Linked DNA regions of Rhinolophus ferrumequinum. The protein of the gene in region 1 binds, or shares a complex with, the protein of each later gene. Links are inferred from orthologs where the notes say so. Each region holds a gene or a part of one and is shown on either strand. Other genes may lie near its edges.

Region 1 (7,741 bases):
TTCAATAATGGTCCCAGCAGGAACAGAAGGTACAGTCATATGTGATTTTGAAGAGAATTGAGTGAATTATTGACAGAGGTGTGGGGTAGGTTTATGGGAACTAACAACAGATGCTGACGTTGCCCAGGGATTAGGAAAAACGGGAAGCTGGAAACTGGAAGCTGTACCTGCTCCTCCCCCTTCCTGAAGACCCAGTGAGAACCAACCCCTGAGAGGAGAGCCTCTGCCAGGAGCTGTCATTGTGGAGCCACTGCCACTGCCAGGCTGAGGTCCTAGGCAGGAAGGAAGGGAGTGCGGAAGAAATCTCTCTATATCTATCTGTCTCTGTCTCTGTCTCTCTCCCTCTCCCCATCCCCAACCTCCTCCCCAACTTGGCTTCAGTCACTCCTGATGGTACCTACCATTGGCCAAACCAGCTGACAAAAGAGCCAGAGTGATGTACTACTGAAGGTAAGTCCCCCAGGGCAGAGGAAGGGGAAGAAGTGGGAAAATGCGTGGGGTTGGGGGATGGTGCAAATGGAGAATAACCAGCACAAAAAGTGTGAAGTCAAAACTAATAAATATTTTTATATAAATATCCGAAGGAGATTATGTGGACTGGTCTGCTGCATTTCCATTCATCTAGTTATACAGTATTAAATGTTTGCTATGATGAAGGGGGTGATAAGTGATCCTAGTTCTTTTGAAAATCTTCCCCCCTCACCTCACTTGGGAATGGGTGTAAATTCCTGGAGTGTTCAATTTATCTTATTCATCTCAATATCCCCACCTCTAGCAAAGCTGTATACAACAAGCATTCAATAAATATTTGGTGTTTGAAGAACTGAGTGAATGTAATAATGGCCAAGTGTGTAGTATATAATGTTCATTAGGTTATGCCAGTTTTCACAGCATGTAAAATACTTCCCTTGGCCAAAGTCAGCTTAGATCTCACACATTTTGTTGGTAGAAGACTCATTTATATTTTTTAAAGAAGTGTGAGGATCCATTAAGCAAAGGCCATGCGGTCTTCGGATAGATTTGAGTAGCATTTTTGCATCTGTGAAGTAAGTGTGGCAGATTTTATCCCTATTTTTAAAATGAAAAAAAGCTGAGGCATGGAAAGATCATAAAGAAACCTAGTTAGTGGATGATAGACTCGGGATTCAAGACAAGAGCTCAGACCTCCTCATGCAGCCGTGATCTTTTTGACAAGGCATAGTTTTCTGTTAGACTAACGTCTCTTTTTTCATATCACGGACTTCACCTCTTGATATTTTTTCAAGGAAGTTACCATTTTGCAGTTAGGAAAAGAGGTTTATTGTAGCCAACACTAACAATACTAAAAAAAAAAATTACGACTATCTTACTGATATGTGCTCTTGATTTATGGGGCAATCTGTCGGAACCAAGATCTGAAGATGTTTGTAAATTCAGGTACTACTTTAATTAATTTATCAGTTATGTAATACCTACTATATGGATATTTTCATTAAGATGAAAAGTTTACCAGGAACACCTTGGATCTCTAGTCTCTTGTGAGGCTTGGTTAGGCATCTGTGTTTTCGGGAGAAAGGAGAGCATGAAGTGGGACAACTAAAGGGATAATCATTCTAAGATGGTAACTTTACCTGTGCAAATAATATCGTTTCAATATAAACATGTGTGCTGATGGGAATCTAGATTAAATTTGCTTATCTAGGAAAGAAAATCATTTTTTCATTCTGATGGACTAATATGAAACTCTAAAGAAGGCACAAAAAGAAGTAATCAAACACACTTGAGATACGGGAGTATTTTGCATTGGATTTGGGCTCGGTGTGGATGATGGATCTTCTTTAAGATTATCACAGGTTTTGGGCTGAGTCAGGAGAAGTGTAGGAGCAGATCAACAGAATCAAATCTGAGGCTGGAAAAATAATCATGAAACCTTAGATTTTACCTTCATTGGTTCTTATTCTTTCAGTTCAAATAATCTTATTTTCAGGTTTTCTAGGCAAAATTAATTAAATGTCATAATAGGAGATATTCAGTCACCCATTCACTCATTCAACAAATATTTACCAAATTCCTACTGTGTGCAAGGTGCTTCCATATAATGTAAAAGAAACAGTGATGTCCCGACCTATGTTAACATCATTAAGAAGTGGTGTTGGGGCGGACAGGTGGCTCAGTTGGTTAGAGTGCGGGCTCTCAACCACAAGGTTGCCAGTTCAATTCCTCGAGTCCCGCATGGGATGGTGGGCAGCACCCTTTGCAACTAAGTTTGAACACGACACCTTGAGCTGAGCTGCCTCTGAGCTCCTGGATGGCTCAGTTGGTTGGAGCGCGTCCTCTCAACCACAAGGTTGCCGGTTCGACTCCTCGACTCCCTCCAAGGGATGGTGGGCTGCGCCCCCTGCAACTAACAACGGCGACTGGACCTGAAGCTGAGCTGCGCCCTCCACAACTAAGATCGAAAGGACCACAACTTGACTTGGATGGAGCTGATGAGTCCTGGTAAAACACTACTGTTCCCTGGTAAAAAAGTCCTGGAAATACACACTGTTCCCCAATAAAGTCCTGTTAAAAAAAAAAAGAGAGAAGTGGTCTTAAGTTTATTTTGGCAAAGGGGAAAAGGAAAAGAAGGGTATAAGTAAATAAAATAATTATTATTGAATGTTAATAGTCTGATGAAAGCATACGATTGATGACAAAGGGGGAGGGATAATTCAGAAAGGTTCGAGTATATGTTCAGAAGCTGATTCTACCACTTATTTGCTATGCAATATTCAATTTGCTCATCTGTAAAATGGGAATAAGGGTACCTACCTCATATGAACTTTGGGAAAGAACATTATGAATATTGAAAATTATGTATCTAAAGAGGTTAGCATGATTCTCAGCACACTGTAGGTGCTCAATAGAGGGTAGCTGTTATCATTATCAATAACAATTAATATATAACAGAGTCACACTTCTATAAATGCTTTGGTGAACATAGTCATTAAGATGTAATATATATAATGTGAATTACACTTTTAGAGTAAGGGCTTCAGTAATTTCATGTTAAAAACAGAAATATAGGAAGTAGATGAGCCATACGTGAGATGCAATTTAACAATCAGAGCAGTATTATTTTTACAACTTAATAAAAGGTCCATACTTGTAAAAGAAGCATAAATGAAAAAACCTAAATCTTTCATATATCGAATGTAGAGATGAATTTCAAATATTTCCATTGCTTCAGGATTACAGTGGCCAGCAATTAATAATTTAAGTCGCCCTTCCCCCCAGCCCTGCTGTAACCCATACTAAGGGTTTGCTTAGCTTGAACCTGTTTAACTCCTTTCTGTTAAAGATAGTTTTCTGGGTTTTAAAAACATTTTTGAACCTTCATCTTAGAACATTTCAACATTCTCTCCTATGTGATATATATTATATACTTGAACGATCAAATCTCTCTTTAATATTTGTATATTAATGGCCTAATTTTTCTATTTTCAACTTAGTTTTCTTGAATTTTGCATTAACACTTTTTTCATTCATTTTAAAAGAATTCAAGAACAATCTGAGCAATTTGATATTGTACCAAATGCCAATGTTTAGATACAATAAAAACCACTTTAATTTGGATCTTGCATAATATTGCAAAAGTTGCATATGAAAATAATTTCATTACGCATTGTATTAAATAGATATATTCCATGTTTTTTTTTAAGTTTTATGCTCTGATTTCCGAAATTATGATTTAAAGAACACATCATGACCTGTATACTAAACTAAGGCAATAACGAATGCCTATATCCAGCTTTTGAGAGTTGGAGAGAGAACGCCGACCAACGGTTTACTTTTGTATTTCAAACAATAAGTTTCAAATCTGCTAATACTCAACCTCACAGTGAGGGATGGGATGATTTTCCCTGGTTTTCCATTAGCTAAGTTTTGTGCGGAGAGATACGTGGGTTGTTTTACGGCTATTTTTACGTCGCCCGCTTCTTTTAAATGAGACCTTCATTTATGCAACAGCTCAGACCGGGACGAGCGAGATCGAGAAGAGGAGTGGCGTGATCGAGGAGAGGAGTCTCTGAAACCCACTCTCGAGGATGCTCTCCAGCACCTTGCAGCCAGTAAGCACATTATTTTCTCCTTGGGTGAATCTAGTTTCCGTTAGCTTAAGAGGAACAACTAAAGTGAGAATGTGGAGTTGGAGAATGCGTGGCAAAAACCCTTTGGGGGGGGGGGAAGCTGTTTTAAGGTATATGCTGCAACCCTCGAAGGAGTGGCTTTGCTCAAACTGCTCTAAGGAGCTGTTTTTGTCTTCTTATCAAACTTGCTTGAGTTTCTAGAGAAGCGCCTGCCTTTTCGGCGCGTGGCTAGGATGGGTGGTGGCCGAGAGTCGAAGGCAATGGCCAAGGGGGTTGAATTCCCGGGATGGAACTTAACGCACACTCCGAGGGCACAGTGGGGGCTCACTTCTGTCTTGGACGTAGGGGCTGCGACTGGCTTTTTTTTTTTTTTTGGGCGGGAGGGCAGATAGTGAGAAGAGGATAAGGGAAAACTGCCAATGGCTTTTCGGGGCTCACTAGGTCTGATCGACCGTTACTGCGCGCGCGGGTTTCCGGCTGGGCGGCCAGCTCGGGCGCTGCACGCGGCCGCGGTCAAAGGGCGTGCTCGCGGCAACCGCAGGGCACGCGGGCCGCCGGGGGTGGGGGCGGGGCGCCAGTGGCGGTTGCGGGGCATGCGCGGCTCAGTGCGCGGCTTCTCGAACATGGCGGCGGCGGTGTGAAGACCGGTGCTGGCTCGCGGGACAGAGTGGCCAGTGTGACTGTATTTTCGCCACTTTCGCCAACGATCCCCGAGGTGTGTGGAGACTCCGGGCCCCGTGAGGACCAGAGAGGCCGAGCGGTGGCGTGTGGGCTCTGGCCGTTGTCCGCGGGCGGGCGGGCGGGTGGCCGGGAACCTTTCGCGGCGCGTCCCGCGCGAGGAACGCCCCCTTACTGTCCCGCGGTGTCCGGCCTTAGCTTGGCGCTGCACCCCTGTCGCCCACCCTCAGTGGCCTCACCCTCGGAGGCCAGAGCTCCCCTACCCCACGTAGTGCCCTCAGCTTCTGTCGCCGCGGGGCCGCCCTCTCCTAGTCGCCCCTTGACCTGAAGCGCGGACAGCACCCTCCCGAGCATCCTCCCGCGGTGTGTGGGGTCGGGCCGGGGCCCCGGGGCGGCGCGGGTGGGTGGCGGGGCTTACAGTGCGTGGTTTGGGCTGAAACTCGCCCGGTTGCCTGTCCAGGGACTTGTGAACTAACTTTTGGAGTTTGGGAGGGAAACTTCAGCTCTGAAGGATGCCGCTGTGGCTCGGGTACTGGTGCTAGGTGCCCGTCGGACTCGGAGCCGCGGGCTCTAGGCGGTTGGCAGGGGGCGGGTAACGGGGTAACGGGGTAAGGGAGCGGGAGTGGGGGGGAGGGGCGGGAGTGGGGGCAAAGGGGAGCCCCATTAGCTTGTGCTAGGGGAGTAGCGGGGCGGTAGGGCACGGCCCGCTCTGGTGCTGGTGGCGGGGTGGGGGGCGGGGGGGACGGAGAGCGGGGTTCCTACTCTCCTGAGAAGCAGCCGCGTGCTTTCGCGGCATGAGGGGCTAGGGACCATTGCTGCCTTCCTTTAGAGACAGCGTTCTCGCTTTTTTCACCTGGACAGTGGTTGTGCTGCATCCTAGTGTGAATCTACGTAGCTTTAGGGCTGAACTGTAATTGGTCTCTCCAAAAATGTTGGGGCAGCACAAGTATTTAGTTACAAGTTCCCATTTAAAACTATTGAGTTTTTTTAAAAGGTAAGAAAGGTTGTAAAACATTTGTCATGCATTACAAAGTGTGATTACAGTTTGAAATCGGCGTCTATTTTGAAGAATTAAAAGATTAGCATTTATGATTTACTTGTAGGGTGACTTTGGGACATCTGTAGAAAGTGATGGATCGGTTAGTGGGGGAAACGGAGGTAAGGAAAGTGAGTATTTCATTATGATCATAAGATTTACAAAATTATTGGAGATAGTATTTATCAATAACTGCTTGGGAATGTTCTTCAGTAATAACAATTTTGCCTTTCTTTTCCTTAATTACTCATTAAATACTATTTCCAGGGATGAATGTTCTTTTCTTCTGTGGTTTTGCATATTTAATGGGAGGAATGTGAAAATAAGCTTTTGGAAATGAGTCCAATTGGGATTTTGAGAAAGAAATGAGTTTATGAGTACTCACCTAATAATGGCTGTAGCTTTATCCATAGTCTTCAAAACAGTCTGTTAGAATGTTTTCAAAAACTTAAACACCATTTAAAATGGCTTTGAACTTTTTAAATAAATTTCATATATATCACACAACCATACAAGTTTCTTAAAGGTGTATACCTGTTCTCCAGAGAATAAGATTTGTTTTGAAATTGATAATTTGGAAAAAAAGATTAATGTGACTGAACTACATTATCTGTGAAGATGCCTTAAAGCTAATGATATAATGTGTACAAAAAACATTGGAGTCAGTTTTTTTTTACCGTTTTAATTTATTTTTATTTTTTAAAAGTTTATTGGGGTGGCAATCGTTAGTAAAGTTACATAGGTTTCAGGTATACAATTCTGTAGTACATCATCTGTATATCACGTTGTGTGTTCACCACCCAGAGTCAGTTCTTCTTCACTCCGAGGGATCAAATACATGGTGATGGAAGGAGTTAGTCTTAAAGAGATGCTATCAGTTTTTCTCATGAAGCAGTTGGTCCGTCCTTTTGATTTATGCTTCAACCAACACATCTTTATTAAGTGCCTGTGCTGTCTGCAGTATGGAGTTCAGTTCAATGTACATTTATTCAGAGGCTTCTTCTATGTGTGCTGGTTTCTGGGTGCTTAAGGCTTCCTGTCAGTAGTTTATTCCTGAAAAGTTCAAGGTTATAGCTAAGAAAATCAGTATGAACGTAGAACAAGTCGTTTTATTTCAAGGGCGAATTCAGGGATTTTGCTCATAATTCTCTAAACAAAATTCTGGGTATAACTGAATATTTTGACTTGATATTAACTTTGTGCCTCTTTTGTTAGGATTATACTATATTTCCCCGGAATAAGACCTGGCCGGACCATCAGCTCCAATGCGTCTTTTGGAGCAAAAATTAATATAAGACTGGGTCTTACATAATACGATATAAGACCTAGTCTTATTTTACTATAATTACAGTGAAATAAGTTCTTAATTTTACTGTAATTAAGTAAAATATTAAATTTACTATTAATTTTTGCTCTAAAAGACGCATTGGAGCTGATGGTCCGGCTAGGTCTTATTTTCGGGGAAACACGGTATAAAGCTATACGTTTTTATGAGAGATTATTTTCTGGGTTGAACAGATAACATTGGGGGAAAATGAATGGTTGGTATAAGTTGAAATCAAAATGTGCTCTGGAGACTGGTTATTTTTAATGCTAAAAATCTTTGCTTCTATGACCAAGTAGTGAAGGCTGTTAACTAGATATTAACTCACTGATAAATTAGAGCACTTTCTTTGTTCAAAATGTTTGAGAAATTTCTCTGAGCTCAAAAATAACTAAGGGTTATGATGGTCAGCTATAAGCCAGATGTGACTCATTTTCTTTTGGGTTTGTTCCTTGCCTGCCTGTTCCTCCCAGATGCTTCCTATCACCCCTCTTCCTGCCCCTGTTCACTTTGCTGTTGGTGTCTGTTTCCGCATCATTGAAATGGTCAGGGTAATCCCGCGCTGCCTCAAGGAGAAATAATTGATGATAGATAGTA
Region 2 (5,098 bases), on another chromosome or scaffold:
TAAGTGTGTATATAAAAACATCTGATATCCAAAACATGAAAACACAATAGCTATTAGGCTAAGAAAAATTTAAGTTGACACAGTGTCATCAGAGCCACTCTTCCAAGACAGAAAGTTACTCGACCTTTTGAAAAGTACGTCCGGAGAGACAACTTCCTGCCCGAGACCAGCTCGATCCCACTGTCTCTTTCCTAGAACTGGTTCCTGAACCCCTTAGACAGGGCAGGAGAGCTAAGGCCGTGGGAACAGGCCGTAAAAATAATTCTCCCGCCGCATCCGCACCTTTTACTGCCTCTTCTTTACCTAAAGGCGAGCAGGGAACGCTCCCAAACTCCGCCCACCTCCAGGCCAGTGGGTCCCTCATGGTTTCCCTCATCGGCGCATAACTCCTCGAGGGTGACCTGCGGCCCAAAGCCGCCCAGAAAGTAGCTCAAGCCGACCCACCAGTACCTGCTCTAGAGGTCTCCGACAGACCCCCGCGACTACACAGCTCTCTCGACCACACGATTTTCACCGACTTTATTGGCCCCCGACCCCGGTGGCTCCCTCGCAGCCCACCTCCCCACTAGATCGCGCCGGCTCTCCAAGACATCTAGCATAATCAAAAACACTTCGGAGTGGCTATGAAAAGAGCCTTTGCTTGGGAAGCCAGCTCCCCGGTGGCGGCGTCACTTGCTCTTTGCCTTCTGACTCTCCGTCTTTTTGGGCAGCAGCACGGCCTGGATGTTGGGCAGGACGCCGCCCTGAGCGATGGTCACTTTTCCCAGCAGCTTGTTTAGCTCCTCGTCGTTGCGGATGGCGAGCTGCAGGTGGCGAGGGATTATCCTGGTCTTCTTGTTGTCACGCGCTGCGTTGCCAGCCAACTCCAGGATCTCCGCGGTCAGGTACTCCAACACCGCCGCCAGGTACACCGGCGCCCCAGCGCCTACTCGCTCCGCGTAGTTACCTTTGCGCAACAGTCTGTGCACTCGGCCCACCGGGAACTGCAGGCCTGCGCGGGAGGACCGGGACTTGGCCTTTGCTCGCACTTTGCCGCCCTGCTTTCCCCGACCAGACATGTTCACCTCTCGCCGAAAACTCTAGCGAGAGAAAAAGAACTCAGCGATTCGGACTCAGGTATAGTATAGGAACGCAACGCACCACACCGGAACTGCCTCTACCAACTTGGCTGCCACTTTGCAGCGCCTTCCCATTGGACGCCGCAACATCCTCTGTCTGAGTAACCAATGATAGGCAGCCTCTACTCCCAATTAGAGCGCTGGCAGAGGGACCGCCTTCTCCAGCTCTCTCCAATCAAAAAGCAAACTGCTACTTTCATTTGCATATCTGCCGGTACCAGTTCTCTGCGTTTGGAACTCCTTTGAGTTTATTGGATCCTGAGGTTTCAACGTCCACGCCCGGTCCCAGGAAAATAAAGTTTTAAGAATGAAGGAACCGTGGTTAGAAACAGAAAGATCCGGAAGAAGAGCTACTCCGTCTTCTCCGTAAATACGAATTGCTCAAGGAAGCAATGTCCCTTGAGGTCATGGAGGAGGATTTCTTCACGTCATACAGCATCCTAGCCAGGTAGTTACCTAACTCCAGAGCCCAAGCCTGTGGGCAACACTGCTCCTCAAACGAAATCACAAACTCACACCGAATTCTGCCTGCCCAGAACAGAGTACATTGCCTGTTATTTTTAGCAAGTGCCTTGCCTCCTGCAAACCTCGAGGCTCCTGCTGATTACCCAACTGTGAAGAGCTGGCTACAACTGAGCCTTCTCCAATGGAGCTGGCGATCTGAACTTTACCTAGACCAGATGACGTTGGACACCGCCCACAGCTCTGCGGCTCACAAGGCTGCCAATCTTGACTCCTAAGGAACGAGAAACTACAGTGCTAGACTAGACGTGAATGCTTTCTTCACAGAGGGCAGGAATAAGCTCACTTAGCCAAAACTTAACATCTTTTGTCTTTGAGGTTATGAGCCTGAAAATAGGCTCTGGATTCCAGAAGAGCCGGCAGGCTGAGTTCAGTTGCTGAGGCCGTCTTAGCCTTGCCTTTTAGCCTAGTTGGTCACTGGGCATCTAGGATCACGTTCTCCACGAAGACTATGAGAGTCTCCTTGTAGACGATCCCAGAGGTGGATAAGGTTTGTAAGACATTCCGGTGGCGCTCAGAGGTCATGAAAAGACTAAAAGAAGAAAGAACGTCAGCAATTTTCCTTGCAGAGCCACAGCATTTGGAACAAAATTAATTTTATTGAAGTAGAAATTTCTACTAACTCAGCGAGATAATTTAATTTACCTCAACATTTTCTATAATTATAAAATTACATGGCTACGTGATATAATGTTAAATACTTATTAAAATAAACAATACTTTATATGGATTATAGTTTCCACTTAAATGTAAAACAAATTGATCCTCTCGCCATTCTAATGATTTAATTTTACTAAAGTAATGTTTTCAACCATTTATATATATATGTCCTTACTCCTTAGCATTATGATTAACCTATCTATACTCTGGACTCAATAAATGTCTTTGGATCTGAGAAGCAGTATATTATCATGATTAAGGTGGTCATCCCAGATCCAGACTGCTGGGTCCAAATCCTGGCTCTATCATTTACCAGCTGACCTTGGATAAGTTATCTAACCCCTGTACCTATCCCAAAGTGTTATGAAGATGAAATGTATTAGTAAGCATCCAATAACTGTTAGATAAACTGAATAAATGGACATACAAATCTCTGATGCAGTTTTTAATAAGATGTTCCTGGAAAGTGTTCTGTAAATTTAGCTTAAATTTTTCCCTATATCATGGAAAATTTTAACAGATTATTATTGGCACTGTTTTTCTTTTTATTCTTGTAAGCAAGAGAGATTTCTAACTTGAAAGTGTTCAAATCTTGATTTCTTATAGTAAATATAAATATAAATAAACCAACCTATTTTACCATTATAAGAATCCTGACTCTTCAAGATTTGATAGACTTTTTTTCTTTCACTGAGTCAAGAATTAAAATCATATAGTACTATCTGACTATTGTTGCATCCAGCGCAACACCTGCAGTGAGGGTGCGAGAAGGGGCGGCTTTGGGTTAAGTTTTTAAGAAAGAAACAGAGACTTAATGTAGTTAAATCTCTCCGAAGACGAGGGGGCCTCACAGTCTCAGAGGACTGGAGCCCCGAATTGGACCGACTGGAGGCTTTTATTGATACTCATACAAGTCACATTGTTTCTTACACGGTCTGTGAGATTCATACATCATAGCAGAAAAATGTTTATTCCAATCACCCTTTGTCTGTAAACAGCCAAAGCACCAGGTTCCATGATGTCTTAATTACGGTATGTACCCTCTCAGGGACAAGTCTCTCATATTGTAACAGTTCTGTTGAGATAAGTGGACAGAACTGATCTTTTTTGTCCTCACGACTTCTCTCACAAACAGGTGCGAGAGAAAAGCCAGAGCCAGCAGTGGCTTTTCCAAGGCAGGGGGAAGGGGAGGCAAGGCCCCTTCCCATATTTTTCTAAGGCATTACATCGGGGGTCTCCACTCGGTTCCGCCTGACTTGGGTTGTATCTCCCGTGAGATATCTTACCCGTCTTTGGCTGTAAACCATCTTTTGGAGACCAGATAGAGAGACATAGGTATAAACACAAGGATGGAGCAGAGTCCCCAGAAAGGCACAGTCTCACAGACTCTCCTTAAGGAAAACCTCGGGGGGACAACAGTTGGATAGGCTGCTGTGTGACTACAGACTATTCAGGATTTTGTTTTTCAGCCATCTGGTGTTCCAAGGGCTTTTTAAATTCATCTTTAACAACAACAACAAAAAAGTACTTTTTGTGTTACGGCGATGGGTAAATTATAAGCATTTAGATATATAATAAATATTTACCATAAAGCTTTCATGCTAGAAAGGTAGGGACAGGGAGCACAATTTACTCAAGATGTTAAGTACTTAGGAAAGAGTTTTAAATCATCCTCTAAATACTGCCTTTTTTCACAGTGAAACCTTTTGGGACGATGAGTTCTGTCTTCTAGAGCCGTGACACTACCGAGTTTCATCTTTGTTCAGGGATTCTCAAGAAAATGATAGAGAACCTCCTAATTGGGGATTTGTAGTATAAACCGCTGTTTAAAGCCACAATCATGGCATCCATTATTTTATAAGAACTTTGAATTTTTAAGTGGAAGTCAAAACCACAGATTTCAGTGAAATAAGAAATTTACAGTATTTCAACTAAATAACCATAGAAATAGATATTTGATGGAAAAGCATATAGGCACTTGGGGTGAGAGGGAACAGAGGAGTCAGGAAAATCTGCCAACCATGCAGATGAAGCTGCAAGAGAAAAGTCTGGAGAGGGCGAGAGGGGAAATTTAGACCTTTTGAAAGAATTTTAATTCTCCACTGGGCCACAAAAGAGAACCATTAAAAAATTTCCTCTTTCCCCACTAGTGACTTAAAAAGATACACAGGTGAAAAGCTGTAAAGCAATTGCTTTGAAAGCTAACAAGATGTAAAGCATTGCTAGTTACTATTGATTTTCACATTAGCCTGGGAATGGTTATCATAAGAGTAAGTATTCCATTTGAAAAATAGAATTAGAATTCGAGCGCACCTGACTTAGAGTCAAGGGCGATCGGGGCGGTGGGGGATAGAGAGAAGGAAGGAGGGAGAGAAACCAAGCGCGCAAAGGATCTGGCCTACTTTGTTTTAAGCGTTGAGAAATGGCAATATAAATTCTATTGAGTCTTTCCTCAATTTTATGGCAAAAATAAGAAAAAGTTTTCCCCAAAATGCAAACAAACAAAAAAATCGGTCTAGTTCTGCTTACTGCTTACTGGACTCACTGTGGTAGGGAGGGGGTTAAAGTCGCCTAGAGCCTAGAGCTCTGCCCACTTTCTGGATGTTTTAGAACCTGTTGGCCACAAGAACTACAAGCCCTGGTCTAATCCCACGGAACTGCTGCTAGCTGTTTGCTATTTTGTTCAGGTGAGACACTGCTACAACAATGTATGGTCCAGGTAAAGGCGGCAAAGGGCTGGGTAAGGAAGCCACCAAGCCTGACCGTAAGGTCTTACTGGAAAACATCCAGGGCATTAG

Evidence for each region.
Region 2: the proteins of SCML2 (region 1) and histone H2A.J are in contact, whole or in part, in a crystal structure (PDB 4EDU), measured with the Homo sapiens proteins. The link is inferred for Rhinolophus ferrumequinum from reciprocal best matches to the Homo sapiens genes SCML2 and H2AJ. Residues at the interface, in NP_006080.1 of Homo sapiens: Asp182, Asn185, Tyr187, Leu188, Cys190, Phe206, Trp209, Phe213, Pro239, Pro240, Gly241; in NP_808760.1 of Homo sapiens: Leu35, Arg36, Lys37, Gly38.

Annotation. Positions count from the first base shown.
Region 1 is NC_046284.1:112,684,319-112,692,059, forward strand, and holds the start of SCML2 (sex comb on midleg-like protein 2), read left to right. Parts: upstream 1-4,738; 5' UTR 4,739-4,821; intron 4,822-5,887; 5' UTR 5,888-5,915; coding exon 5,916-5,951; intron 5,952-7,741. UniProt on the Homo sapiens protein: Putative Polycomb group (PcG) protein. PcG proteins act by forming multiprotein complexes, which are required to maintain the transcriptionally repressive state of homeotic genes throughout development.
Region 2 is NC_046293.1:29,040,943-29,046,040, reverse strand, and holds histone H2A.J, read right to left. Parts: upstream 1,213-5,098; 5' UTR 1,059-1,212; coding exon 669-1,058; 3' UTR 506-668; downstream 1-505. UniProt on the Homo sapiens protein: Core component of nucleosome. Nucleosomes wrap and compact DNA into chromatin, limiting DNA accessibility to the cellular machineries which require DNA as a template.